7 linked regions of the Tribolium castaneum genome follow. The protein of the gene in region 3 interacts with the protein of the main gene of each other region in a pairwise test. Links are inferred from orthologs where the notes say so. Each region holds a gene or a part of one and is shown on either strand. Other genes may lie near its edges. The genes, in order: transcription elongation regulator 1; abscission/NoCut checkpoint regulator; htt; huntingtin-interacting protein K; Ubc4; Rpn10; protein tumorous imaginal discs, mitochondrial.

Region 1 (4,263 bases), on a different chromosome or scaffold from region 3:
GGGGGCATACCTGGCGGAGGACCCGCTAACATGTTTTGAGGCATTGCGTTCCCAGCTTGTTTGGCATCGCCTTTCGATTCCTCTGACTCAACTAAATTTCTCGTTAATTTTTTTGGGATAGAAATTGGATTAGAGGTACCTTCAGGTTTATTTGAAACGTTAGCCTGCGCTAACGCCGCCTGAGCTGCAGTTGACGTTCCTTGGGCTAAACCTGTGGTGGCCGCTTGTGCCATTGCTTCCACTTGATCCTGAGAGATTACTTTTACATTAGGACCTTCTGGCTTAGTCCAAGTGGTTTCTCTAGTACGAGCATTATAAAAATATGACTTGCCTTCTGAGGTTTTAGTCTCTACCCAAATTTCACTATTTGCATCTAACCCCTGCAAAAAACAATTACAATTGAATTCTTGTAGTCGAACTTCGATAAATAATAAATTATTATTTACAAAGTGGTAAAACATACGAAAGAGGAAAAATAATATCGAGGCTATAAAATTAAATAAAATAATTAATTTAGTCATTTTTCAGCACGGTGCAGCAAACTCACAAGAAAAAAACTAAATATGTAACTCAAAAATGTATTTGAAAGTGTGAAAAAATAACTCAATTTTTGGTTCCATTTAGTGCTTATTCGGCTTGCGAAGTAATTCCGCTTATAGCTAAAAAAAGATAAAACGCTCCAAAAGGCAAAAATAATGTAATTTGGCGATTTTTCTGTATGTATTAATGACATCTCGCAAAAAAACGGTGAGATTTTGATTCAAATACCAGCTTAAAGGTCTTAAAAGTTTGGAAAGGTAAAATTTTTTCTACTTTGGTTTCACAAATTATTCATTGTGAAACTGAAAGTATCATGTGTTCATTATTAAGAAAACTCTCCGAATGGCCTGATATTTCCTACTACACGAGTTCACCAAAATTCATAACATCATAACCTATGAGTGATAAATAGTGTTCAAAGGCCATGTGTTACGTGTGTTAAACAACAAAAAAAAACATTTCCAAAAGTTTTTATAAATAATAAATAAATATCTTTATGAAAATCTGTTATCTTTTTAACTGCCAAAAAGTAAAGTTATAAAAGAACGAATTAATCACAAACATTTGTAATCAATTGTTTTTTATTTTCAAAGCACTTCTTAAATGAACGCTTGTTAGTTTTACAAAGAGAACTTTTGTACAACTCCTTTTAGTAAATTTGTAGTTATATTGACAGTTCTGCGCTGGGTGTCATCAGTCATCACTGTAATTTAGTGTGATCTATCAACAACGTCAAGCCGTTTATTGAAAAAGAACAATTAACAAAATTAAGAGAAAATAGTTTGAACAGATTTTGATAAGTTAAACTAAACAGAAACAAACAAAAATAGAAAATAGTATATTACACTCGTTTTATAAGACTTAATTGTGACACTCATTCTATTGGAGCACTGCTTCGTCGTGCTCCAAAACCATTCGTGCCGCAATAGAACGTCTTATAAAACTCGTATAATAATATATTGTTTCAATCCTATTTTACCTTTTTTTTTTTTGGTTTGTTCATAAACGTGTTAATCGAGTAATACAAGTCAAAATAATGTCAGTTTGGATTTGAAATGTTGATCAGCCAATTTTTCGAAAAAAATATGTATCGAAGTGACAAACAAACGTGCTTCAGCACACGGAAAAAGCAAAAATTATGTTATTTTTACATAAAGATGAACTACGGATAATCAGGATATTCCGAAGAATCAAATCTCCGATCGTCCGATGAACTCTCGATGGGTTAAACTACGAAATAAATTATATTCTACTTTATTTTTGGTGACATGTTTTCCGCAAAATTTAATGTTATATCAGGTCTATTTTAAGAAAGTGTTTATCTTTATTGAAAATGTTTGGAAAAGTCTAGTTTAATTCTTTATTTGATTAAGATTTAGTAATAATTCGATATTTCCCGGGAATACCTAGACTTTAAATCAAGAAAAACAAAGTGTAGGCAATAGAAACCCTACGTGAAATTCTTATCTGTATTTATTATTTGATAACTCGAACAGATAAACTTGAAAAATTCGAATTCCAAAAAGATGGTAATTCGCAAAATCTCGTCGAAAAAACTTACTGTTGTGGGATTTTGCCCTACTGGTGGAAACTGCCCATTGGTCGTCCCGCCCTGAGCGCCCATGGGTCCACCCGGGGGCGCCCCCATCATGCCCGGTGGTCCGAACGGCGGTCCATTGGGTCCCATCATATTGGGCGGTCCACCCATCGTCCCCGGGGGCCCCATCGGTCCTCCCCAGTTAGGCCCATTAAAATTCGGAGGTCCATTGAATCCCTGCCCTGGTGGTGGGTTTCTGGGAGGTCCCCCACGTCCAAACATCGGAGGAGGTGGTCCTCCACGTCCACGAAACGGAGGAGGGCCACCGGGCCCAAATCCCCTTCCTCGAAACCGGGGACCTTCTCCACGCGGTCCTGGCGGACCTGGAGGACCCGGCCACGCGCGTCCGCGGCCCCTGTAATCACACCGTTAGGAAGTGTGGCGGTTTAAAACTTGAATACCTGAACCCTGAAGGTCCTCGGCCTCGCATTTGGAAGTCATCTCCGAGTTCAATGTCGTTTTCGAAGCCTCCGTCCTCTTCGTATTCCTCTTGGGCGACGCCGTCGACGTCGGCGCCGTCGTATTCCATGGAGACGTCTGTTTCTTCCATTGTGTTTTATTTAATTTCAATCGATTTAGCCATTTAGAGTCAATTAAGATTTATTTTTCGGAAAATGGCGTCAACAAATGCACTTCTTCGGTTTATGACGTTAATGCGCATGCGCGTTTTTTGTTTGTTGATTCCCAGATACCAACCACAAGCGACAAATTTTCCCCAAAAGTCGCGCGAAATTAGGTTTGAATTTTTTGGATGATTTCTACATAAATTTTCTTTTAAAAACAATAATTAAAACAACAAATTTTAAAACATAACACTGCCCACCGACTGTTCCGCATAATTTATTTAAACGCCTTAAAAAAATAAAACATTTTCGCCAACAAAGAAATACCACAAATGATCATTTCATACAGGCTGATTCTTTAAATTTTCAAATAGTAACCACCTATTTTTATTGCATTTTTGAATTAGTAAAATATACCCTAGTTGTTAGTATTAGCTGTTTCAAAACTATAAACGCCAACGTCGCATTTTTTACCGAATTATTTTTTTAAATGAGATTGATAAAATTGTAAAATAGTAAAACAGTAAAATAAAATTATTAGATCTCTTATTGAAACTATAAATTACATTATCTATCAATTTTTTGAAGTGCATAAATAATTTAAAAAATGATTATAAAACAGTCTTCTACAGCGTGCTCAAAAACTGACGCACCAACTCAATGGTGTGTGGCAGAGAAGTGGTTACATATAAAGGTAAAAATAGTAAAAAAATTCTTTGTATTAAAGTTATTGATAAATAACTAATTTTAGGTAAATGATATGTGGCAACGTTGTCTAATAGTCATGATCGCAATAGAATTTGAGCAACAATAAAAATAAATTATTTTTGAAACGGTTTCCTAGGAAATAATTCCCAGTATTGGCACATCTACACATTGTGATTTTTTGGATGAATTTTAGTTTTTTTAAATTTAAAAAACTGCTAAAATCTGATAGTAAATTTTAAAATAATTGTTCATCGTTTTGTTACGGAACGATTACCTGGTATGAAACATAATAATATAAAAAAATAATGAAAACTAAAGAAGTTAACACAATAGGTTTGTAGCTTCAGATTTTTTAAAATACGACTTTAGGAATTTTTTCAACATTTTTCCCGTAATCTGCACTTGCTTCTCAATAACGTACCACTGAGTTGGTGCGCCAGTTTTTGAGCACCCTGTATATCTATCTCTTACAGATTTTGGAATAATCGCAAGAAATTGAATTTTACCTAATTATTTTCATTTTTAATCAACTAAACTTTCGAAAAATATGATAAAATTGTGCTATTAATTAAAAAAAAATTCTATTTGATCACCGTTTTCATTCAAGAAGTTCAAAATTCGATGGCAGACTGAATGAGTTACTTTACATAAATTATGATAATAAACCATAATTAAATATTAATATTTTACTGCTTATTAGATAATTAATAAATCAGTCAAAAAATTAAATAAAATGTTCAAGTTGACAATTGTTGACGAATTTGCAAGGTCTACTTGATTACTATAAAAATTACGAAGTAAAATCCGTTTCTTGTGAGTTTTTTCAAAAACTGTAAGAGATAATAAGTATAGAAT
Region 2 (3,548 bases), on a different chromosome or scaffold from region 3:
CCCAATCCCGAGCATCTCCTGGATTTGTTTAGCTGTCAGGTCTTTGGTCCCCCGAAAAACGTACGATTTGCTACAGCCCTCAGTGCCCAGTTCGTGAACTTGGACCATTTTCCCGAATGTGATGAGCCCTATGAGGGCCGTCGGCGGGAGAAGGCTCAAAGACATCTGAAGCGAGTCTTTAAGGGCCCCCAGCTCCTCCTCGTCCATGCACGTATCGACGACTAGGAGGTAGATGGGGGGCAGGCATTGGGCGCGTGTTATTGTGTACTCAATGGTGGAGAACATTGGCATGAGTTCGGCCGGTTGGTGTTGCTCGGAAATGGCCGCATATTGAGGCGGAAACTTTAATTTTTTATGTAAAAAAATATTTAATTTAAATTATCTTTTTACCGGATTCCGTTGGAAACAGAAATTGCAAACCCACAGCTTTGCCCGGTAGTCGACTTGACACAGCGGGTTCAGAATCGCACGACAGTTGTTACGGGTACATAGGACAGGGTCGTATTGGATGGGGGGCAGGTCTTGGCGCTCCTTGATGGGTTGGTAGAGACAACCGAGGGGGACCACCAAACGGGTGGCTTCGATGCGACTCGACGGCCACACGTTCCAAGTGAAACGGATGCCGTCGCGGTCCTCATTCTGCTGGATGTATTCTTCGTAGGTGGCCATCTGAGCAGCCCCCTTGTTACTTGGGCGAATTTTACGATTTTGTTGAGACTTACCGCAGAACGGCTTATGCCAAGTGGTCACAAACACAAAAAACGCGTCAAATGCTTGATTTTAATTTATTTTAAAAGTTTAAAAAAACATTTTACATTTGTTACACATTTCAAGATCCACGTCATATGTCACCTGTCACTGGTGGCGACATCTATGGCTCACAACAAGGCTATTGAAAATTTTGTTAAAAAATCGCTAATTTGGGGCTGAATTACGTCACGACCGCGTGTAATTGGTCGTTTTTTTAATAAATAAACTGTAACGACAAGTTTTTACAAATTTGGACGATATGTGAAGAAATAAACGATTTTTTTTCGTGGTGTTACTTCAGCCACTTCAAAAACAATTAAAGCCTTTAATTAATTAAAGAATTACTAATTCAATTGGAATTACTTCACCGTTTCGTCGCTTAATAATTATTTTGTCCATGAAAGTGGTTTAAAAAATGGGGGAAAGTGTATTCCTGACGTCACTCTAGCCATTTTGGCTACCAAAGAAATGGTCAATTTAATTCAAAAAACTACTAGCTTGATGTAGTATCATGTCATGGTTTTGTACAATTAATTACTTAGTACTTAAAAGGGCGTTTTTCTCAAATATTGGGGGGAAAGTCAAATTTTTTTCTGTAGCGTCACCTTAGCCACAGTGCGTCAACAAAATTAAAGAATTTATTTACAAAACCGTTGGTTCAAGGTAAATTTAAATACGGGAACTGAGCAATGAGTCACCTTGTTGATGATACACTTTAATAAGTCGCTTTTTGCAGCAAATGGGTGCAAATCAAATTTTTCCATGACGTGCCTTCAGCCACTTGCAGCGAATCAATTCAGCTGTCACAAAAGTCTAAATTTGTAAAAAATCTCTTTAATTCTATTATGTCTTGTAATCACTGCAATACGAAATTTAATTTTTTCCACAAGGAAGTGCGTCCGTTGTGAAATTGCGTATTAAAAGTGTTAACAATTTTTTTTTCAGATGGGCTGTTCAAATTGTGGACTGTCCTTTTGCAATAAATGTCTGAAGCAAAAATGCAAAATCCCCAACAAGGGCACAGGCGAATTCAATGTGTGCAAACTGTGTTACTCCAAACTGGCATCAGGGACAAGCGCGACACTGCCCCAAATCGCGCCCCCCGACGCTTTCATAAAGTATCTATCGTTGCAAAAACCCCTCAAATGACCCTCCCCTTGCAGTCCCAGGCGTCCCGTTCCCCGTTTCATGACCCAGACCTGCCTCAGGTACTAGACTAAACAGTGTCAAAAGTGTGATCCATTTCGTAGGCGATTGGAAAATCTGGAAAACCCGGCCGCGCCCCCTATTACAATGTACAAAAACGACCCGAAAATCCAGGCTTTACGCAGCGGTTTGTCGCCGGCTGACCAGAAAATTCTGGATCGGTTGGAGAAGCTTAAAGATGAGAAGGGGCCCCCGCCCAGTGAGGGGGAGCTAAGGAGGCGGTTGGCCAGTCTTAAGGGGGAGAACGACTACGTGGAGGGGCCCAGCAGACTTGTAGCTACTCCCTGTGTTTTTGGTTTTCATTCATTAAACTGGGTTTTTAGTTGTTTCAAGTTGATTCAAGGACGGATCAACAGAAAGCTGACTCGCTCCTTGAACAGTTTGTGAATGAGAGGGACATCGAGTTGGCTCACAACCCCCAGGAGGAGATTGAGGCGCGTTTGGCGACTTTGAGGGAGCAAGGAGTGAGACCAAACGAGGGACCATATATTAGTAATTTGCACGACTCTAGTAGCTCTGAGGAGGAAGTGGATAAAATCACGAAAAAGGTATAACTCCTTAGGTGGCTTCTTGAAAACAATGTAAAAACTGTAGTGAAAGCAGTTTCTGCGGTTGTTTTATTGAAACTACTGGTGTCAACATTATTATTATTTCCGCTTAAATTCTCTTGGCAGATCATGGACGAGGTGGCGATTGAGGAGCGTTGCCCCAAATCAAAAAAACTCACTCCAAGTTCGTCAAACGAAGATGAAAACAACGTACGATCGTCTCCGGAGCTTCCGTGGTGCGTTTTGTGCAACAACGATGCGAAATTCCGGTGTTTTGATTGTGGAGGTGATTTATACTGTAGCGAGTGTAATGTTGAAGTACACAAAAACTGGGGAGATACCGATCACAAAGTTGTTCCATACAAGTCGAAATGAAATTTCGTAGATTTAGAGCAAGTTACATATTTTTACAACGGATTTTCAATATTTTTGCTTAACATTCCCGGAATTAAAAAATCGTTGATGTGTCGAGATTTAGCGGTGAATGTGGATATATTGTACGAAGAAATTTAATCAATGTCATGTAAATAAAGATTTTAAGAGATTTGCGGTTTGATTCAAGCCTTTAAATTTTTTTTAAATAAATCAGGAATTTTCACAAAAACCATTCTCAAGTACAATAAAAAGGTATAGAATTTAATATAAAATACTCACAAACTAGCAAAACAATTATCTCATTATCTACTAATTCCCTTCCTCTGCTCCTTCGCTTTCACGTACTTTCCGATACATTCGGAGAAACTCTTGAAAAACGCCAGACCTTTGGGGCAGTCTTTGGCAAAGTTGAGCAACTCTTGCCTGTTGACGCCCCCGATTTTGTTAATAATTGTCACGTGTTTGTCGTAATCTATATTATCGACATCGTTCATGTCCACCCTCACATCAACCAACAACTCCAACTCGATTTCCATAATTTTATAAATCGCCCTATAAAAAAAAAACGAAACAATGAACTACAAACAATTACAAAACCACTTACACAAAATCAGGCCCAAAAACCATGCAATTAATCGAGCAATAGTCAAGTCGGAAATTCCTAATTTC
Region 3 (2,699 bases):
TAGGGGGAATATTATTGATGCAAATTGCGATAAAAGTGAAAGTGCAAAGCTATTCTCCTAACCTTACCCAAGGAAATTAAATCGCGACGACAAGACGTGTTCAAATGAGCCGAGTTGTTTAACACAGCACACGTACCAGCACTTATGAACAGGATTTGTTGAATAACTCCGTGATAAAAGACAATTGTGAAGAAACAGGAAATATCCCATTGTTAGACGAACTTCTCAGCGAGATTATCCGCTCGTTTGAATAACGCCGGGATTTGCGCATTTTTGCTTACCTTAAAGTTCAACGGCCATTCATGCTTTATTTGCAATAAAATTTTATCGCAAATTTGTTTAAACAATCACTTTTACTAATATAAACAATTAAAAAACCACAAGATAAGTCGGGCTTGACAATGACAGGTTGTCACAAGGAAACACCGAAATTCCATGCGCCGAGTGTGCGTCAGCTCGAAAACATTGAATGAACCGAAATCAAATGAAATAAACAGCAAAAATGTTAATTTCTTTTTATTTCTTACTCAATAGAGATAATTAAATTTGTTGTAAGTCCTACTATTTACAGAGACGATAACAAATCGGTGAACAGCGTGTCGGGTTGCTCCTTAATTTTGCGAAAATTCTCAATGAACGTGTCTTTCTGGTTCTGGTTGGTCAGGTTCTTGTAGAAGTCCGCCCCAGCAATGCACAGCATTTTCCGGTCCTCGTACTCGTACCTACCGACACGCGTCTGCACGTAAGGGAAAAATAGCCGCAACCACTCGTTCGAACTTGCGCTTATGAAGAAGCAAGTCAAGCACCACGTTGCCATTCCAACCGACAACGATTGCGTGAAATTGGAAAGACTAAAAACCACCCAGTCTTGTAGTAACGGAAGCTGTTTCTCCTCAATCGCTCGCTCGAACACCTAACCGAAAATGGTACAAACCGAACCGAACTAGCAACAACTCACCCGAAAGACAACTTTGCTCAAAAGCTGGGGATGGGGCTGCTGCGGCGATAGGAACTCGCTTATCACCTTCGTGAGGATGTCGGCCGGGGAGAAAAAGTCGTTGAGTATGTCGGGCAGAACGTGGCACAAAATTTCAACTTGGGACATGTAGCCACGTTTGATGTGCTCGAAAATTGCAGAGATTTTTTCGATTGTTTGTACTAAGTGGTCGGGGTTTGTGGGGCTGCCCACAGCTTCGAGCTGCTCGGAACAGTCGGTGTACATGTAGCTGAGGAGGAGTTGGAGGCCCAGGATTGATACGTTCGGATTTTCGGTTTTTGTTTTTTCGAGTGCTAGGCTCATTATTTGTTTACTTATGCCTTTTGTGAGGGTTGGCTTGAATATCACCAGTCGTTCCAAAGCCTAAAGCACAAAATTAAATGGGTAAATAAATGATTTTCTCGCAACTTTCGTAAATTTTAGGAAGATTTTTGGAGAATTTTTAGGCCCGTTTGAGATTATTCGAAAATATGATGAGTTCTAAGATCATGTAATAAGTTTTTGAGAAATATTTTATCAATAATTAAGATACTGCGGGATTTTTTTTAAAAACTTTGTTTTTAGAATGTTAAGTTTCGCAAAAAACAATGCCAAATAATCTAGAAAAATTCTAATCGAAACTATAATAGAATTTTGACAAAGACCAGAGTAAAGAAAATTTGGAGAATGAAGACGTGTTTTTAAAGAAATTTTGAGTACAGTCTATACAAAATAAAATCTAGACAAAAATTTATAAGGTAATCTAAAGACGGATTTTCAAAATAATCAAAATGTTCAAACTTTAGACATAAAAAACGGATTTAGAATATAAAATAGACAAGTATCTTAAAAAAAATATACAGAAGAATATAGGAAAAATTTAGAGAAAGGGTAGAGAAGTAATGATGAAAAATTTTAAACAAAACGATAATTTTTTTAATTAAGAATTAAATTTAAAAGAGAATTTGGAGAATATTTAAGAAGACTTTATAAAATTATTTGGAGTGCAGTCTAAAAGAAAAAGTTATAAAAAATAATCTGGAAAAATTCTAAATAATTTTAAACGCAATGAAAAAAAATTCGGTATGACAGAATAGAAAATTAAAAAGAGAATTGGAGAATGTTTAAGAAGAGTTTATAAAATTATTTTGAGTGCAGTCTAAAAGAAAAATTTATAAAAAATAATCTGGAAAAAATCTAAACGAAACAATAATAAAAATTTGTAAAGGCACATAGTGCAATCTAAAAAAAATGTAAAAAATGAAGAAGTGTTTATAATAGTTATTTTAAGCAGAGTTTAGAAAATAATTATAAAGAAGAATCTGGAGAAGAATTTATAAAATAATCTACAGAAGAGTCCAGGATTAAAATTTGCCGTCAGCATTATAAAAAAATCTTTAAAAAATAGAGAAAAGATAGAAAATTAATGATAAAAATATTTAAACAAAACGATGAAAGAATTTCGGAAAGACGCAGGTTAAAATTTAAAAAAATTGGAGAATGTTTTAATGTTAAAAAAAAATGAAAATAATGTAATAAAGAGTCGAGACTTTTAAAAAGAATCAGAGAATAATTTTACAAAAAAAACTAGAAAAAAGTACAAAAACAATTCTAAAGAATAATTTGGCTGAATTCTAAACGACATTAGACACGAATTTGAACAAACGTAGAGTAGAATCGAAGAGAGATCTTGGAAAATGTTTATGTACTTATTTTATTTACG
Region 4 (2,163 bases), on a different chromosome or scaffold from region 3:
GTAATTTGGGTTTTACAAACACTTGAATATTTAAAGCCCAAAAAAGTAATTTAGTCAATGTAATTGTACGTATTAACAACAAATACACTACTACTGCATTCAGTGAGTTATCTAGAACGGTTTCGTGTTCTCGTAACTTTGGGAATTTTTGTAGAAATGAGTTTGAGGTTATGTCACAGTAGACTTATCAGCACGGTCACTAAAAGGCTCTTTTCGGCCAAATTCCCGGACCATAAGATCGTCTTAACTGACGACGAAAGCACGTACGTGGCGTGGCACCCAAAACAGGACTTTCCGTACGAATGTACCCAACCTTTGCCTGAAAAACAAGTCGAAGACACTTCCGTTCTTAAAACGCAGCTTACGCCCCAACTCAAGGAAGTGTTTAATAAAAAAACACCTGAACAAGCCCGGCAAGAGCTGATGAACATCACGCACACGACGAAACATCGTTGGTTCCCTCGTGCGCGTGATAAACGCGCTAAAAAGACACCAATGGATCGCGAATATTTGTAGAATTTATTTAAATACAAAATCGTAATAAATTAGTTGGTTAGAGCTACAAGTGCATTGACAACGTTCCCGTGGTATTCTCGAAGGGTTCGTTCGGCTTGCGTCCTTGAAATTTCCATTTCGCGAACGATGAGATCGACGTCTTCTTTCTTGACTGATACTTTGAGCAATTCTTTTTCACGGGCTTGTTTCTCGAGGGCTTCTTTGTTACGGCGATCGCCGATTGCTGAAATGGCACCAGCTACGTTCTGTGTCGAAATTTCCTTTTCTTCGGCATAGTCGGTGACTTTCTCGAGGTCAGCGGCCCCACTGTCGTACTTTGCGGTTTTCTTTTGCGACTTTTCGGGCAGTTCTTCGCTACTGCCGTTCACGGTTTCCTCATCTGCCATGGTTCAAATTTTGCAAAAAATGGCCAAATGTGAGGTTAGGGCCGACTCTACGTCAAGTGACAAGCGTGTAACCCGAAAAAGGAATGTAACTAACACAAAACAAAAGAGCGGGAGTTTCAAAAACAAAAAAACGCTCCAGCACAGACTACGAAAAAGGAGAACTTATTGTTCCTTATATTTTATTTACACCTTTAACTGGATTGTCTGAGAAGGGAAAATAAGGATACTAAAGAAGAGTCGAAATGAAAAGGTTGTGAGAATAAGAAAAACAATTGAGAAGAGAAGACTCTGAAAGAGAGATATAACAGAAAAGAAAACTCTTCCTTCAGAAGAGGAACTGAAAACAAGAGCAAGCAGATAAGGATCTCGGAAGATAAAAGATGTCTTGAGAAAAATGAAAAAGGGTGTGAGAAAAGAGTCTGAGAAATGAAGGTTCTAAAAAGAGAAAAGAGTTTAGGAAGAGAATGCTCTAAAGAAGGAGACTTTGAAAAGAGAATGTCAGAAAAGAAAATTATGAGAGGTCTGAAAAGGGAAAACTTGTTCCCCAGAGTTAGAAGATCTGAAAAGAAAATAGCGCGAAAATCAAGCGAGTTATTTTAGGACATTATTTATTTAACGTAAATTATTTACACAGTTTAACACTGAATAATAAAAGAATGTAAACTACATTATATCTACTGACAAGAAATGTTTAGATATTGCCAGGGAATGTGCCATTTTCCCTTTGATCATCCCATTTCTCAATCCAGGCATTGGGGCACATTGAATGGAAAACCTTCTTGAAGTAGTCGCATGGTTTGTAATCCTTTCCTCTCAGTTTCTGGCATCGGTGATAATCCAAATAGCTTTGGTAGCAGTAGCGAGTTTGGTTGGTATTGGGAAAACGGGGGTCAAAGGGGGCTGTTTTCAAATCTTCAAATTTGAGAACCTCCGGCATGGTGTCTGCAAAACAAGAGAAAGGACTTGTCGAATTGTGACTAATTAATTTTGATTTTCGAGTAAATGTCAAACAATCAATGGTGACGCGATTAGTTACCTAAGCGTTGGATAGCGTCCATGATTTGTACAAAAAACACCTTAAGCTTATATGACTTAAAACTAGGATAAAACAGTCTATTTAACGAGCAGCCTCGTCTTGGAATCATCATCACAACACGCCTCTTTGTATCGCTTAACCTCCTTCATGTACAACGTCCACGCGTCTTGCGCGTCGCTCTCTTCCTGAGTCATAGTTTTGGTTTTCTGCACCATTCCCGTTTTG
Region 5 (3,538 bases), on a different chromosome or scaffold from region 3:
ATTATTTTAACCGCCCTAACTTTCTGTTAATATTAATATCAAAAACAGTCAAGTGAACATTTTTATGCAAAATTTTCGGCTTTACAATTTTTGTTTAAAACTTTTTTTTCTAGCTTTCAGCGATTTTGAATAATCTGTAAAAAACGCTTTAATTTCGTTTCTTCAACTAAAAAATTCTTTGTCTAAACGTTTTTAACTGCTCCATGTAACTTATATAAAAAAAGCGAGCTTTTGAACATTTCGATTTACAGGCTTATTTGACTGGACCATTGAAATTATTCAATGACTGGACTAATAATAGGTGATTGTAATTGAATTTAAATCTATTTTGAAATAGTACCGAAGGAGTCTCGACCTTTCGTGGTGCTACTTATGTAAATCTGTTGCATAATCAGTGCATAAATTAAGAGTTAATGCGCAACTTTTATTTTCATGGAGTATTTGAGTTTCAAATGGACGTGGATTGTCTTAGGGTTGTAACTCACCTCAGTGCCTGTATATTCAAGATTAAAATTTTATTTTAACAGTATTCAATCGCCGATTTACAAATAAAAACAGTAACTAATTGGAAAGTGGTTATACAAAGCATTTCATTCAATTACCATACTTGAAGTGCTAAAAAACTAATCTGGTGGTTTTCACTAGCAAGAATAAACCGTAATTAATTGAAAGACTTTGTACTCGAAAGAACTAACGATAAGCATCAGTAACATCAATAAATTTCAAACACCAATATTGACAAAAGTTGAAATTAGTTCGCAAGAGCCAAAACAAGACTTTCGTATAGTGATTACTGAGACATAAGGTAAATGCAAACAATCCTTTTATTCATCTTGTACACCTTCAAAATAATTTAAGTCAGTAATCTATTGGGTAGAAAATGAAACTGCGTTTCATAACCAACTGTTGGAAAAGTGTAGAGAGAATATAGTAAAATGGCGGATTAAAATAGTTCACTAACTAAATAACTGTTCAGTTGCTCTTTCTATATCCCAGTTATACGACGACAAAGCGACCCGCGCCTGGTGCTCCTCCACTCCCATATCAACTAGCCTTTTTATTTTATCGTCACATTCTTTATTTACATGGGGACCTGCAAACAGAGCGTCACGCCGTCCTAATTGCAAACTGCATAAATTACCGCCTGCGTAAACATTTGTCCAATGTCTGGCCGTCATTTGAAACATTTCTATATTTTCCTTAAACTGCTTCGCCACCACGGCGTCCTGTGGGTCATCGGGCTCCGCAGCTGAGAGCAGCGCTTGGAGCGACAACAACACCGTCCTCAGCGTCATAGCTGCAGCCCTAGAATTTCATTTAATAACAAATACTACCACGTAATAGAAAGCACCATTGGTCCTTTAAAATGTCTAAGCAGATAGCGCCCGTTACTGATGATATATTCGGGTGCCATATCTTCGTAATGAACCTGACCTGTTACAAAACTCTTAGTCTTTTTTTTCCTGGTTATGTTGAAACGTACCTTGGGTGGATTGAAGGGGTATGTTTCAGGTACTTTAATCTCTAATACGAAGGTGCCCCCTTCGTAGGCCGTGTCCGGGGGGCCCGTGATCTCGCCTTTGAGCTCTGTATAACTATCATTTAAGAGTTCCACTTTGATGGCACATTTTGCTACCTAAATTTCAAACAAGCACGATCGTATTAGCCAAGTTTGTTGATTGTTACGAAATGACGTTGGAGTGATAACCCCTTCGCTTTGAATTTATGGCAGGGGGCATTTTTCAGTAATCAATATTTTACGTTGTGTACTGACAATTTCAAGTGTGAAAATTCGAAATGTCCGAGGAAACCGAGAACGGTAAGTGGCGTTTAGGAGTTAGAATGACATAACAGAAAAACAGTGTTTGCGAAGTTCCTACCTCTTCACTTTTAATAACCTCTTTAAACTCTCGTCGTATCCTTTGTGCTGCTATGTTAGCCATTCTGGTGGGGAAGTTCCTAAATGCAGTAAAACATAACAGATAAACCGTGGCTCTAAAAAATAGCGATTTGTTGACAAAAGTAAAAAATACACTGGCTAAAGATCGATTTTCACACTTTTAATTTCTCACTGAAGTTAGGCAAATTATGAAATGCTAAATGAAGAAATGTCACTTGTTTTCAATAGCATTATAGCCAACTTTACGGAATTTACGCGCGCGCCAAATCGGCCGAAATCTCGCAAATATTCGGGGATTTTCCCTCGGACTGCTGCAACGATGACGTAAGGGCCCCCCCGCGCGATTTCTGTTGACAATTTCGGCGATATTTTCGACGGAAATCTTCGATAAGCAGGGAGTATTTCGTCACAAGGTTTATCATTCTGGAGCGTTGTTTGCCGATAACATTAGACCCCGCTTCTGATTGGCTGCGCGTTTTGCAGTTATGCCCGTTTCCCAGCCCGTACGTGCTAAAAGCTTGTTGCGGGCAAAGTTGGAAAAGTCTTCGTTGATCCTCCAGAGCAGAATGCCGAACATTAAAGTCTTCAGCGGGACCTCGCACCCCGACCTGGCCCAGAGGATCGTGGACCGGCTGGGGATCGACTTGGGCAAAGTGGTTACGAAGAAATTCAGCAACTTGGAAACATGGTGAGTGGGCTTTGGAAATTATTTGCTTATTGACTTGGCTTAAATTGCGACTTATTATTATTATTTTATTTTAGCGTGGAAATTGGGGAGTCCGTCCGTGGGGAAGACGTGTACATCGTGCAGTCGGGCAGCGGGGAAGTTAACGACAACCTGATGGAACTCCTCATCATGATAAATGCGTGCAAAATTGCGTCCGCGAGCAGAGTCACTGCAGTCATTCCATGCTTCCCGTACGCTCGGCAAGACAAGAAGGACAAGGTGAGTGCACAATTGCTCCAATTGTGTACCTGCACATGTGTAGATAACCTAGACGCCACGTGACTTTGTATACATCTGCAAGCGGGTTTGTGGAGACCGTAGTTTTGGTTTTTAGGACAATTAGGGTTGTGGTTTTTCCTATTGACCTGACAAATTAGTCAAGCATCTGGTTTAATAATTGGACAAGTTCAATCCGACCACGTAGTTTATTAATTTGAAACAATTTGTTTACCGTTAGGTCGGCAAAAGGAGCACGTGGTTGAGAGGGCGCCACTGCCGCGACTTAAGTATTTCAAACATGTTTGCTTTGCTTAAGAAATATATGATTTATGATGTGTTAAATAGTCATAAAGGCTTTTTACTAGAATATTAGCAAAGGCATAATAAATGTAACTGCACTATTAAAAGTGATTTTGCTATATCCATTTAACAAAGACAGTCTTTAATTTGTTACTTTTTATTACTACAATTATTGTGTACTTTTAGATTTTATTGATGTTTTTCTTGACACAAAAGTGGAAAAATAAGTCTATTTCTTATCATAATAAATACTAAGTGATTGTGTGATTAAGGTTTGCCAGTATTTAAATATCAAATTCAAAATTTTATACAAATAATATACACTTCCATGCCTAGCCATCACCTGAAACAAATTAGAAGAATGACCAATAGCTCAATAATGCCAATAGATT
Region 6 (3,790 bases), on a different chromosome or scaffold from region 3:
CGCTAAAGTTTGAAGTTATGTTTCACCTTTACGTTCATCTCTTTTTCTCTCAAAACAAAAGGTATTTTTCCTTTATTACAATGTGCTCTTACGTTTACAATTTGGCGCCTTTACGTACTTTTACCTTTTGCCGCATTATTTTCTTATTTCTGTCAGTTTTATGCTCCGCTTTACGTTTATACGTCTATGTGTTCTCTCAATCTCTTATTTTTGCTTACGTGTTATTTCCTTACCTTTTCTACACTTTTTTTCATAGAAAAATTGTTACTCTGATCCGGGTTCGAACCCGCGACCTCCCCCGTCGTAAGTGGCGCTTATACCACTCAGCCACCAAGGCCCCAGGTGCTGACCGTCTTTTGCCGATATTTTAACACAAACTTTTTAAATAAAAAGTCTGTTGTTTTTTGATATCTTAGTTGAAGTACGAGTTTTTATTAATTTTAATCCGTGACTCGAACTTTTTAGAAGGTCTTAGATATTAAAAAAAAAACACAATGAGGTGATTAGTTAATCCATTTATTTGAAATGATACTTCACACTACAAATGAAATCAATACAGTTCCGCATATAAATGTATAATTATTATGTAAAAAAATAACTAAAGTAACAATTATCCCTAACTTATTTCTTCTGTTTATCCTCCTTATCCTCTTTCTTCTTATCCTTCAAGTTCCCCACCGCCTGTCTCACAGCTTCCGACTGCGGATCAACTCCTGGCAAATTCTCCAAAACACTTTGCAGAAACGCCGGATCATTCATTACTTCCGAATAATCTTCATCTCCTTCAACCTCCATCGGCTCCTCTTTCTTCCCAGAACTCGACTCTTCTACAACACCCCCAAATAAAAGCAATCTTGCAAACTTTCACCAGAAACTAGTCACGAAATTTCTTTAAAAAGAAAACCGAAAAACCAGCGACGATTCAATTCCTTTTTAAACAAACTTTCACAAAACAAGCCAAAAAAACACCAACAACAAAGTACAAAATTCACCAAACAATTAGTGTTTTTTGCGTTTTTCAGCGCTTGTAACCCAAAATTTTATTAAAAAAAAATCTTTCACTGTTTTCACCCGATTATTACGTAAGCATGCAAAATTTCAGTACATTCGGACAATTTACAACAACCTAAGCCCCCACTTACGTGCATCCTGCATCGACATCTGCATCGCGAACGCAATTTGCTCATCCTCGGTCATATTCGCAAAATCGACAGTGGGAACCCCCGCAGGGGCACTCTCCCCATCCTCCTCCATGGACATCGCCAGCGCCCTCTCCAGCATTGCCTCCTCACTGGGCTCCTCCTTAATGGGCGAAGTTTTAGCCCCCGTTTCAGTAGACGAAGCCTCCTTAGCCCGTCTCGCCTCATCCTCCTGTCTTTGCCTCTGCTCCTCCATGGACACACGCAGCGCCAGCGCCAGTTCTGGGTCCTCATTGGGGTCCACACCAAACTCGAAACCGGAAGCCCCCAGACCGGCCCCGCCCGTACCATCCTCCCCTTGTATTATGGGCGAGGAGATGAGAGCGTCCGACAGATGGGGGCCAGGGGGCACCGTCACCAAGTGGCTGCTGCTGCCGTCCTTCAAAGACTAGAGCTAATAAATTTGAATAGGAAAATCGGATAAATACTTTTCCGTTCAAAGTGTTGATAAAAGTCGTCAGGACTTCATTATTGGTGAAGTCTTCACCAAAACTGACTATATCGACGTTTACTTTCTCCTTTTTTAATTTTTTCGCTAATTTCACTAACTCCTTTTCTTCGGACGCCACAGGGCTGCCAACGAAGGCCACGATTCGCATTTTGTGGTTCTTGCCCTGGCGGTGCTTCAGTGCCAACTGGGAACAAAGTTATTTTATTTTTTTTGTAGTTTTTTTAAATAGTTTTGGGTTTTTCTCAAAACCTACGTGAGCAATGCGGATCCCCGTATGCAGGTTGATGTCCCCATTGGGCTGGACCTGGTGCAGCTTGGACAAAATGCGCCCCACGTCGCTTGTAAGAGTCGCTAATACTTCAACACTGCAACCAATCAATCAGAACACGATTTGCAAGCACAGGGGGGCTCACTTTGCTAGGGTTAACAATCCGACGTTATTTTCAGGATTTGACCTCGTCTTCGAGTGGCAAACTAAATTCACAGCGTCCTGTTGGGCCTGCAGACGAGTCGGGAGGAAGTCCCCGTTCCGCATGTAGTCACTATTGTCCACACTGGGGCACAAACAAACAAATAATGCCAAGTCATTGGAATTTGAGGTTAGGTGCACAATTTTGACGCCACTTTCGATTTTTTACAAAAGTGGGGCCACTTACCAAATCATCGTACTCTCTAGGACCATTTTGCTAGGTTTTTGGGCTAAATTGAACACTTTTGGCCAAAAAACTACGAAAATTCTGGTACTGACGTCTGCTTGGGCAAATCAATGCCGCCAACCCAAAAACTTCAAGTGCGCGAAAACTTCAAGCTTCGTAATAATTTATCGAAAGATTAATAAAATAATGTATTTAAGTGACTCAAGCCCCCGTTTTTGTGACATTCTGCCACTGAAACTCTTTGGTTGTGATAATTAATAATTTAGACAAATAATAATTAATAAAAAAGCAACTTCCAGGCAGGTGAGTCTAAAATCGTGTTAGTGTGGGAGTTTTAGCTTCGTTTGTTTAATTTTTGCCGGTTCGTGGCCCAGCCCCCGGTAATTCCCCCAATTTAGGCGCAAAACCTTGCCGCAAAAGTAACGCGATAAGCACTTCCTAGCGTGCCAATTCGCCACACGAACGAAAATAATCCATAAAATGACCCGAAACACGAAATTGCATTAAAAAGTTTTGAACTCTGTCCACGTGCGCGTTAGGGATTTTCTCACCGTGCGATTGCGATCTCAGGTGTAGTGTCAAAATCCGACAGGTAGCGAATGGTGAACAGCAGAACAAGTGTAAAGTGTTGGAATAAAAACAAATTCGTACAATATGGATGTGATTGGCAAGAAAATGCTGTAATCGCTCGAAAGTGGGACGATTTTACGCAAAACCAGGTGAGCTGGCGGCTTTTTCCGTGGCGATGTTCTTTTGTTTCTGGGGGGGTAATGCGTCTAAAAGTCGGATAGGTTAGGGCGCGTAATTTGGGCAGAGATTTTCAATGTAAACACGAAATTTAATCGATTAGAGTGGGTTTTATTATAATTGGGACCGTCGTTACTGTGTCAACAGCGCTGTTTACCTGTTGTTATTTACACAGGAACGGAGTGCTGATAGTAGGCTGTGGGATGATTTAAAAATTTGGGTTTTTTGACTGGGGTTTGCAGCACTGTTTTTTTAGTTTCCACAATCAATAATTTCGCATATTTTATTAACATAAATAATTCACTTTTTATTCTATATTTTTTGCGGTATAATTGGTATTCTTCTATACTTTTGTTGTCTTGTACAAGCGTATTATCTATTAATGCCATAAATAATTTAAAAAAATGGATCAGATCGTAATTAATTATTTGTGTGTGATAAAGTGCCTTAAATCGACCTAATCTTAATAAATTTAAAAACCTAACGAGGTCTGGAATTAATTAGCGTAAAATGCTGTCCTTGTATTCAAAGTTTATGGCTTGAGATCATTACTGGTAATAGACAAATTAGACAATGGCAAAAAAACGTGTACTACCTTGAACTGTATTTAATATTAAAGCAGATTCGGGGAAATTACGGATGCAAATAATCAAGCCATGTTTTTTTTTTTTAATTTAAAGTCTGGTAGACGTTTCGGTTTTATTTCAAGTTGAGATGAAAGTATTTCCCAAGTGATT
Region 7 (4,066 bases), on a different chromosome or scaffold from region 3:
CTTACGGACACGTTAGAGTCCTTTACGCGTTGTACCTGGAATTTGCTGTCACGTTAGCGGCCCTAGTCTTGTCTCTGACCCAGGCTTCCGCAACGAGGGGCGTTGTCGACATCGGCCTCAAATTGGGGCTCTTGACGAACACTTGAGCTGTGTAGGAAGTGCCTTAGTAGTCGCGCTGCACTTTGGTTTGATATACATATCACTTCCGGGGGGCCGGAGAGTAAGGGTGCGTCAGGGCGATTGAAAAATATTAAAGTAACCGAAGGTTTTATTGAGACAAGTAAAGTGTGTAGGGGGTTGCTTAGAGGTATGTACCCCACACTTTTTTTCCATAAAAAATATGCATAAAAGACACCCCATAATTACAGTTGGTTTAAATTAAAATTTCTAATAAACAAGTCACAAAGTCAATGACTCGTGTGGGTAATTCGAATGTCTGTGATGCAACATCGCGCTGATGTAGCCTTATCAGGACTGCCTTAATGCGAATTAAACAAAACTTTAGATTCTAGTCGGTTTATTCTTTCTTTAGAATAACATTTTAATATAAAACTAGTTAACAAAACAGTTATGGCATTTTATTTCTTTTTGCTTCTTCAGTGTCGCTAACATTTTCATTATCAACATCTCTATCTACAACTTTCTTAGTGTTTTTTTGTGAGTGATTTTCTTTGGCGGTTTCGACTTTCTTACCTTGTAGCACTAACCTAAGGGCTTCTAAAAGTTCTTGTTTGTCTTTCGAGACAAAAATTTTGCTACCTATAAAAATATATTAATGTTAACAAAAAATGACAAAAATTCTATTGTATAGTCTATTTATTTAGTAACTTAACTGTTATATACAAATAAAAAAATCAAACTATACATTGTTTTAATTAGCCAAACAATGCCGATTTGATTTTTGAAAGAAGACTCGGTTTTTCTCTCTCCGCTTGAGATTTAGCTTCAGAACCTGCGAGAGGCATTTCGTCCTTGTCTTTGCCTGTCAACAAAAATTTACGTAAGTTTTGCAAAAACAAGGATCAAAAGCTAAATTTCAAGCCCCCCTAAACCCCCAGAAACTTACCATCAGTTTTTAACGTCACTCCTAAAATTTGTCCCGGAGTATCAGTTTCCAGCTCGGCATATGCCTGGGCTAGGGCTTTTTGTTTAGGAGAAAGTTGTTTTGGTACAGCTATTTTGAAAGTGACATAATGGTCACCATGACCGTAACCATCTACTTTTTTCATGCCTTTGCCGGCAAGTCTTATTCGGGTGTGTGACGACGTTCCCGGCATTACCTAACCCAAAAAAATATTATCGGGAATTACAAAAAAAAAATAATTAGGGGACAAAATCACCTGTATCATGTGGTCTTCGTACAACCCTTCTATACGGATGGTGCCCCCTAAAAGTGCCTGCGCCACGGAAATTTCGGCCTCCGTGTGTACATCAGCCCCGTCTCGTTTGAAATAGCGCGATTTTTCAATATGAAACGTTATAAACAATTCTTTTTGCCCTACCGACATTCTCACAGTTTGACCGTCTTCAATACCTGAAACCCCCAACTCGTAAAAAAAAAATTTTAACACACAAATTTCTCAAACCTGCTGGTACTGGCACCGTGATCCTTTTCCTTTGCACCGTTTGTCCCTTTCCCTCACACTCGACACACTTATGTTTGATAAACATACGACTTCCTTGGCAATACCTACAAGTGGACCGCATAATAAAGGGCCCCCGGGTCACACTTTCCATCCCAGTCCCATCACAATGTGTGCACCGTGTGGCCTTGGTGCCTGGTTCGCACCTCGAGCCGTGACACTTGGGACAGGTGTCCACAACATTGACAGTAATATCCTTATTAGTCCCCCTTGCGGCTTGCAAGAAGCTCAATTTAACCACAACCTCTTGTGCTTGTCCAAACCCAAAATTCGATTCAGCAAAATCATCAAATCCCCCGCTTTTGCCAAAACCGGCCTCTCCGAAAATTTTCCGGAAGAGTTCTTCCGGGTTAATGGTTGACTGGTATTGCCAGCTTTCGGCGAAGCCTTGGGCGCCGGGACGGGGGCCACCGCCGCTCCCCATGCCGCCCATCTGCTCGGACGTGGCGCCAAACGTGTCAAATTGCTTCCGTTTGGTTTCGTCGCCAAGTATCTCGTACGCTTCGGACACCTCTTGGAATTTTTTAGCCGCATTTGGGTCATCTTTATTGACATCGGGATGATACTTTTTCGCTAGTTTATAATAAGCCTTCTTTATTTCGGCCCCAGATGCGTTACGACTAACCCCCAGAATTTGGTAATAGTCTTTCGCCGCACGCAAAACCGGGTTTAGGTGGATTTTTCGGGATGAAATGTGTAAAACTGGAAAATGAGGTTAGGTTAGAAAAAATGCCAAGGCAGCTCAAAAAAAGGCATAATTTTGTGCAACAGTCGTTCACTTGTGTTATTAGACCCGGAAAAAGTGAAGTTCAAAGGTTCGGACTGATAAATGATGCAAATTATGAAGACATGCTGTAACTCACCGTTTTTTACCGGAGAGTTTGTGACATTGAAATTGACCGAAAATTTGTTACAGTGGAGACAATTGTGTAGAAATCTTGCTGAAATTTTGTTTACTTGAGGTGTCACGAAGATATTTAACTGTTTTGTACACAAAATGCCAATAAGACTTCTGACATTCGCCATTTTTTTAGGAAAAGGCAGAGCGTGGTGGTAACACTGTCAATCAATGAATTTCAGCAAATGCCAAGGTGTCCTGGCGCCAATTTTTTTATAGACGATTTTTTTCATTATTCAGCAAATAGCTAATGCAATCAAAAATCAAGCAAATTATCTCTAAAGTATCAAAAAACCTTAAGTATCCTTTATTTTTAACCATCACAAACATGCCTCAACGTTATGTGTTACTGTGTATGCAATCAACAATACATCTTATTTTTGAATTATTTGATAACAATTTGTTGTGTTAAAACGTCTGATTATGAATCATTTATTTTTTGTAGTAATTAATTATTAGTGTTTTGGTCGTTATTTAACTAAATTTATCCGAAAATACCGTCGAAGGGAGAGGCAAAATAAAATAAAAGGCTTTTGAAACTTCATCAATTAGTAATGAATACAATTTAATTATAATTTTTTTCTACATTAGTTATTGACTCCAGACTTTTCAGCTTTTTAAGTTGAATTTTGGTTACGTTCGGTTATTTTACTAATAATTGTGAGTTTTTTGGGAAGGGATAAAATAAAAAGTGTTTGTTGAATGTTCGTCAACTAGCTCTATTTGTCATAAATATAATTTAAGCCCAATTTTCTACAAATATACAAATCTACAACTACGCATAAATAATTTCGATTTAGGCTTTGGCCATCTTCCTGGGTTCCAATCTGACTTTAAATCCTTCGGCCCTCTTAAGAATAATATCACCTTGGAGTTGGAAATCTTTTTCTTTCAAATCCGAATAAATTCGGTAGTTTCTCAAAATCGTAGAGAGCAGTATTTTCAGTTTCAACATGGCATATTTCCGCCCTAGAAAAGCGCTTAAAAACACAAAAAAAACATTATACAAAACGTACCGACACAGCTGCGAGGTCCGGCACTAAACGGAATAAAGGAGTAGTAGTGCCTGTTGGCAGTCCTCTCCGGAAGGAAGTTATCAGGATCGAATTTATCCGGGTTAGGGTAATACTCCTCAAGGCGATGAACTTTGAAAGTACCAATAACGACAGTACAACCGGCAGGAACAGTGTAATCACCAGATGCTTCAAAACAATGATTAAAATGTTAAAATTAAGTTTGGGGAAAATACCTAATTTCAAGTCTTGGTTTAATTGCCGCGCGATAATGGGTACCGGAGGGAACATCCTCAAAGTTTCCATAAGACACCGTTCCAAGTACTTCATTTCGAGAGTGTCGGCGAAAGTTGCAGGCCGGTCAGAGTCGCCAAAGATATCGTACAGTTCTTGTACCACTTTGTCCTGGATGTCCTGGTGGACGCCCATCATCGAGAGGAAGAAGCTGCTGCCAGCGGCCGTGGTGTCGTGGCCTTCAAACATGATCGTGTCGACTTGTTCCTTAATTTCCT

The links.
Region 1: the proteins of htt (region 3) and transcription elongation regulator 1 interact in binary tests that used the Homo sapiens proteins (3 or more experiments, as listed by UniProt). The link is inferred for Tribolium castaneum from reciprocal best matches to the Homo sapiens genes HTT and TCERG1.
Region 2: the proteins of htt (region 3) and abscission/NoCut checkpoint regulator interact in binary tests that used the Homo sapiens proteins (3 or more experiments, as listed by UniProt). The link is inferred for Tribolium castaneum from reciprocal best matches to the Homo sapiens genes HTT and ZFYVE19.
Region 4: the proteins of htt (region 3) and huntingtin-interacting protein K interact in binary tests that used the Homo sapiens proteins (3 or more experiments, as listed by UniProt). The link is inferred for Tribolium castaneum from reciprocal best matches to the Homo sapiens genes HTT and HYPK.
Region 5: the proteins of htt (region 3) and Ubc4 interact in binary tests that used the Homo sapiens proteins (3 or more experiments, as listed by UniProt). The link is inferred for Tribolium castaneum from reciprocal best matches to the Homo sapiens genes HTT and UBE2K.
Region 6: the proteins of htt (region 3) and Rpn10 interact in binary tests that used the Homo sapiens proteins (3 or more experiments, as listed by UniProt). The link is inferred for Tribolium castaneum from reciprocal best matches to the Homo sapiens genes HTT and PSMD4.
Region 7: the proteins of htt (region 3) and protein tumorous imaginal discs, mitochondrial interact in binary tests that used the Homo sapiens proteins (3 or more experiments, as listed by UniProt). The link is inferred for Tribolium castaneum from reciprocal best matches to the Homo sapiens genes HTT and DNAJA3.

The regions. Positions count from the first base shown.
Region 1 is NC_087397.1:11,591,012-11,595,274, reverse strand, and holds the start of transcription elongation regulator 1, read right to left. Parts: upstream 2,801-4,263; 5' UTR 2,688-2,800; coding exon 2,539-2,687; intron 2,493-2,538; coding exon 2,102-2,492; intron 381-2,101; coding exon 140-380; intron 92-139; coding exon 1-91. UniProt on the Homo sapiens protein: Transcription factor that binds RNA polymerase II and inhibits the elongation of transcripts from target promoters. Regulates transcription elongation in a TATA box-dependent manner.
Region 2 is NC_087396.1:21,498,337-21,501,884, reverse strand, and holds abscission/NoCut checkpoint regulator, read left to right. Parts: upstream 1-1,461; 5' UTR 1,462-1,595; coding exon 1,596-1,643; intron 1,644-1,695; coding exon 1,696-1,868; intron 1,869-1,913; coding exon 1,914-1,958; intron 1,959-2,000; coding exon 2,001-2,229; intron 2,230-2,279; coding exon 2,280-2,504; intron 2,505-2,630; coding exon 2,631-2,879; 3' UTR 2,880-3,048; downstream 3,049-3,548. Other genes in the region: Sec23 (protein transport protein Sec23A), read right to left, coding at 1-342, 391-669; uncharacterized protein LOC103313582, read right to left, coding at 3,182-3,431, 3,484-3,548. UniProt on the Homo sapiens protein: Key regulator of abscission step in cytokinesis: part of the cytokinesis checkpoint, a process required to delay abscission to prevent both premature resolution of intercellular chromosome bridges and accumulation of DNA damage.
Region 3 is NC_087395.1:14,799,517-14,802,215, reverse strand, and holds the end of htt (huntingtin), read right to left. Parts: intron 1,361-2,699; coding exon 959-1,360; intron 914-958; coding exon 566-913; 3' UTR 501-565; downstream 1-500.
Region 4 is NC_087394.1:36,375,353-36,377,515, forward strand, and holds huntingtin-interacting protein K, read right to left. Parts: upstream 903-2,163; coding exon 546-902; 3' UTR 517-545; downstream 1-516. Other genes in the region: mRpL42 (large ribosomal subunit protein mL42), read left to right, coding at 157-516; cytochrome c oxidase subunit 6B2, read right to left, coding at 1,594-1,839; telomerase RNA component interacting RNase, read right to left, coding at 2,016-2,163. UniProt on the Homo sapiens protein: Component of several N-terminal acetyltransferase complexes. Inhibits the N-terminal acetylation activity of the N-terminal acetyltransferase NAA10-NAA15 complex (also called the NatA complex).
Region 5 is NC_087394.1:31,294,615-31,298,152, forward strand, and holds Ubc4 (ubiquitin-conjugating enzyme E2-22 kDa), read right to left. Parts: upstream 2,300-3,538; 5' UTR 1,944-2,299; coding exon 1,881-1,943; intron 1,820-1,880; coding exon of another isoform or gene 1,798-1,819; exon of another isoform or gene 1,666-1,797; intron 1,637-1,665; coding exon 1,484-1,636; intron 1,435-1,483; coding exon 1,352-1,434; intron 1,306-1,351; coding exon 1,142-1,305; intron 1,094-1,141; coding exon 957-1,093; 3' UTR 501-956; downstream 1-500. Other genes in the region: Prps (ribose-phosphate pyrophosphokinase 1), read left to right, coding at 1,798-1,819, 2,384-2,588, 2,663-2,846. UniProt on the Homo sapiens protein: Accepts ubiquitin from the E1 complex and catalyzes its covalent attachment to other proteins. In vitro, in the presence or in the absence of BRCA1-BARD1 E3 ubiquitin-protein ligase complex, catalyzes the synthesis of 'Lys-48'-linked polyubiquitin chains.
Region 6 is NC_087400.1:1,080,021-1,083,810, reverse strand, and holds Rpn10 (26S proteasome non-ATPase regulatory subunit 4), read right to left. Parts: upstream 2,408-3,790; 5' UTR 2,333-2,407; coding exon 2,307-2,332; intron 2,205-2,306; coding exon 2,064-2,204; intron 2,016-2,063; coding exon 1,904-2,015; intron 1,835-1,903; coding exon 1,628-1,834; intron 1,588-1,627; coding exon 1,143-1,587; intron 828-1,142; coding exon 622-827; 3' UTR 501-621; downstream 1-500. UniProt on the Homo sapiens protein: Component of the 26S proteasome, a multiprotein complex involved in the ATP-dependent degradation of ubiquitinated proteins.
Region 7 is NC_087402.1:4,531,503-4,535,568, reverse strand, and holds protein tumorous imaginal discs, mitochondrial, read right to left. Parts: upstream 2,670-4,066; coding exon 2,507-2,669; intron 2,346-2,506; coding exon 1,587-2,345; intron 1,535-1,586; coding exon 1,341-1,534; intron 1,281-1,340; coding exon 1,067-1,280; intron 983-1,066; coding exon of another isoform or gene 876-982; exon of another isoform or gene 760-875; coding exon 569-759; 3' UTR 501-568; downstream 1-500. Other genes in the region: uncharacterized protein LOC103312662, read left to right, coding at 1-146; Cyp4g14 (cytochrome P450 monooxygenase), read right to left, coding at 3,338-3,510, 3,558-3,743, 3,791-4,066. UniProt on the Homo sapiens protein: Modulates apoptotic signal transduction or effector structures within the mitochondrial matrix. Affect cytochrome C release from the mitochondria and caspase 3 activation, but not caspase 8 activation.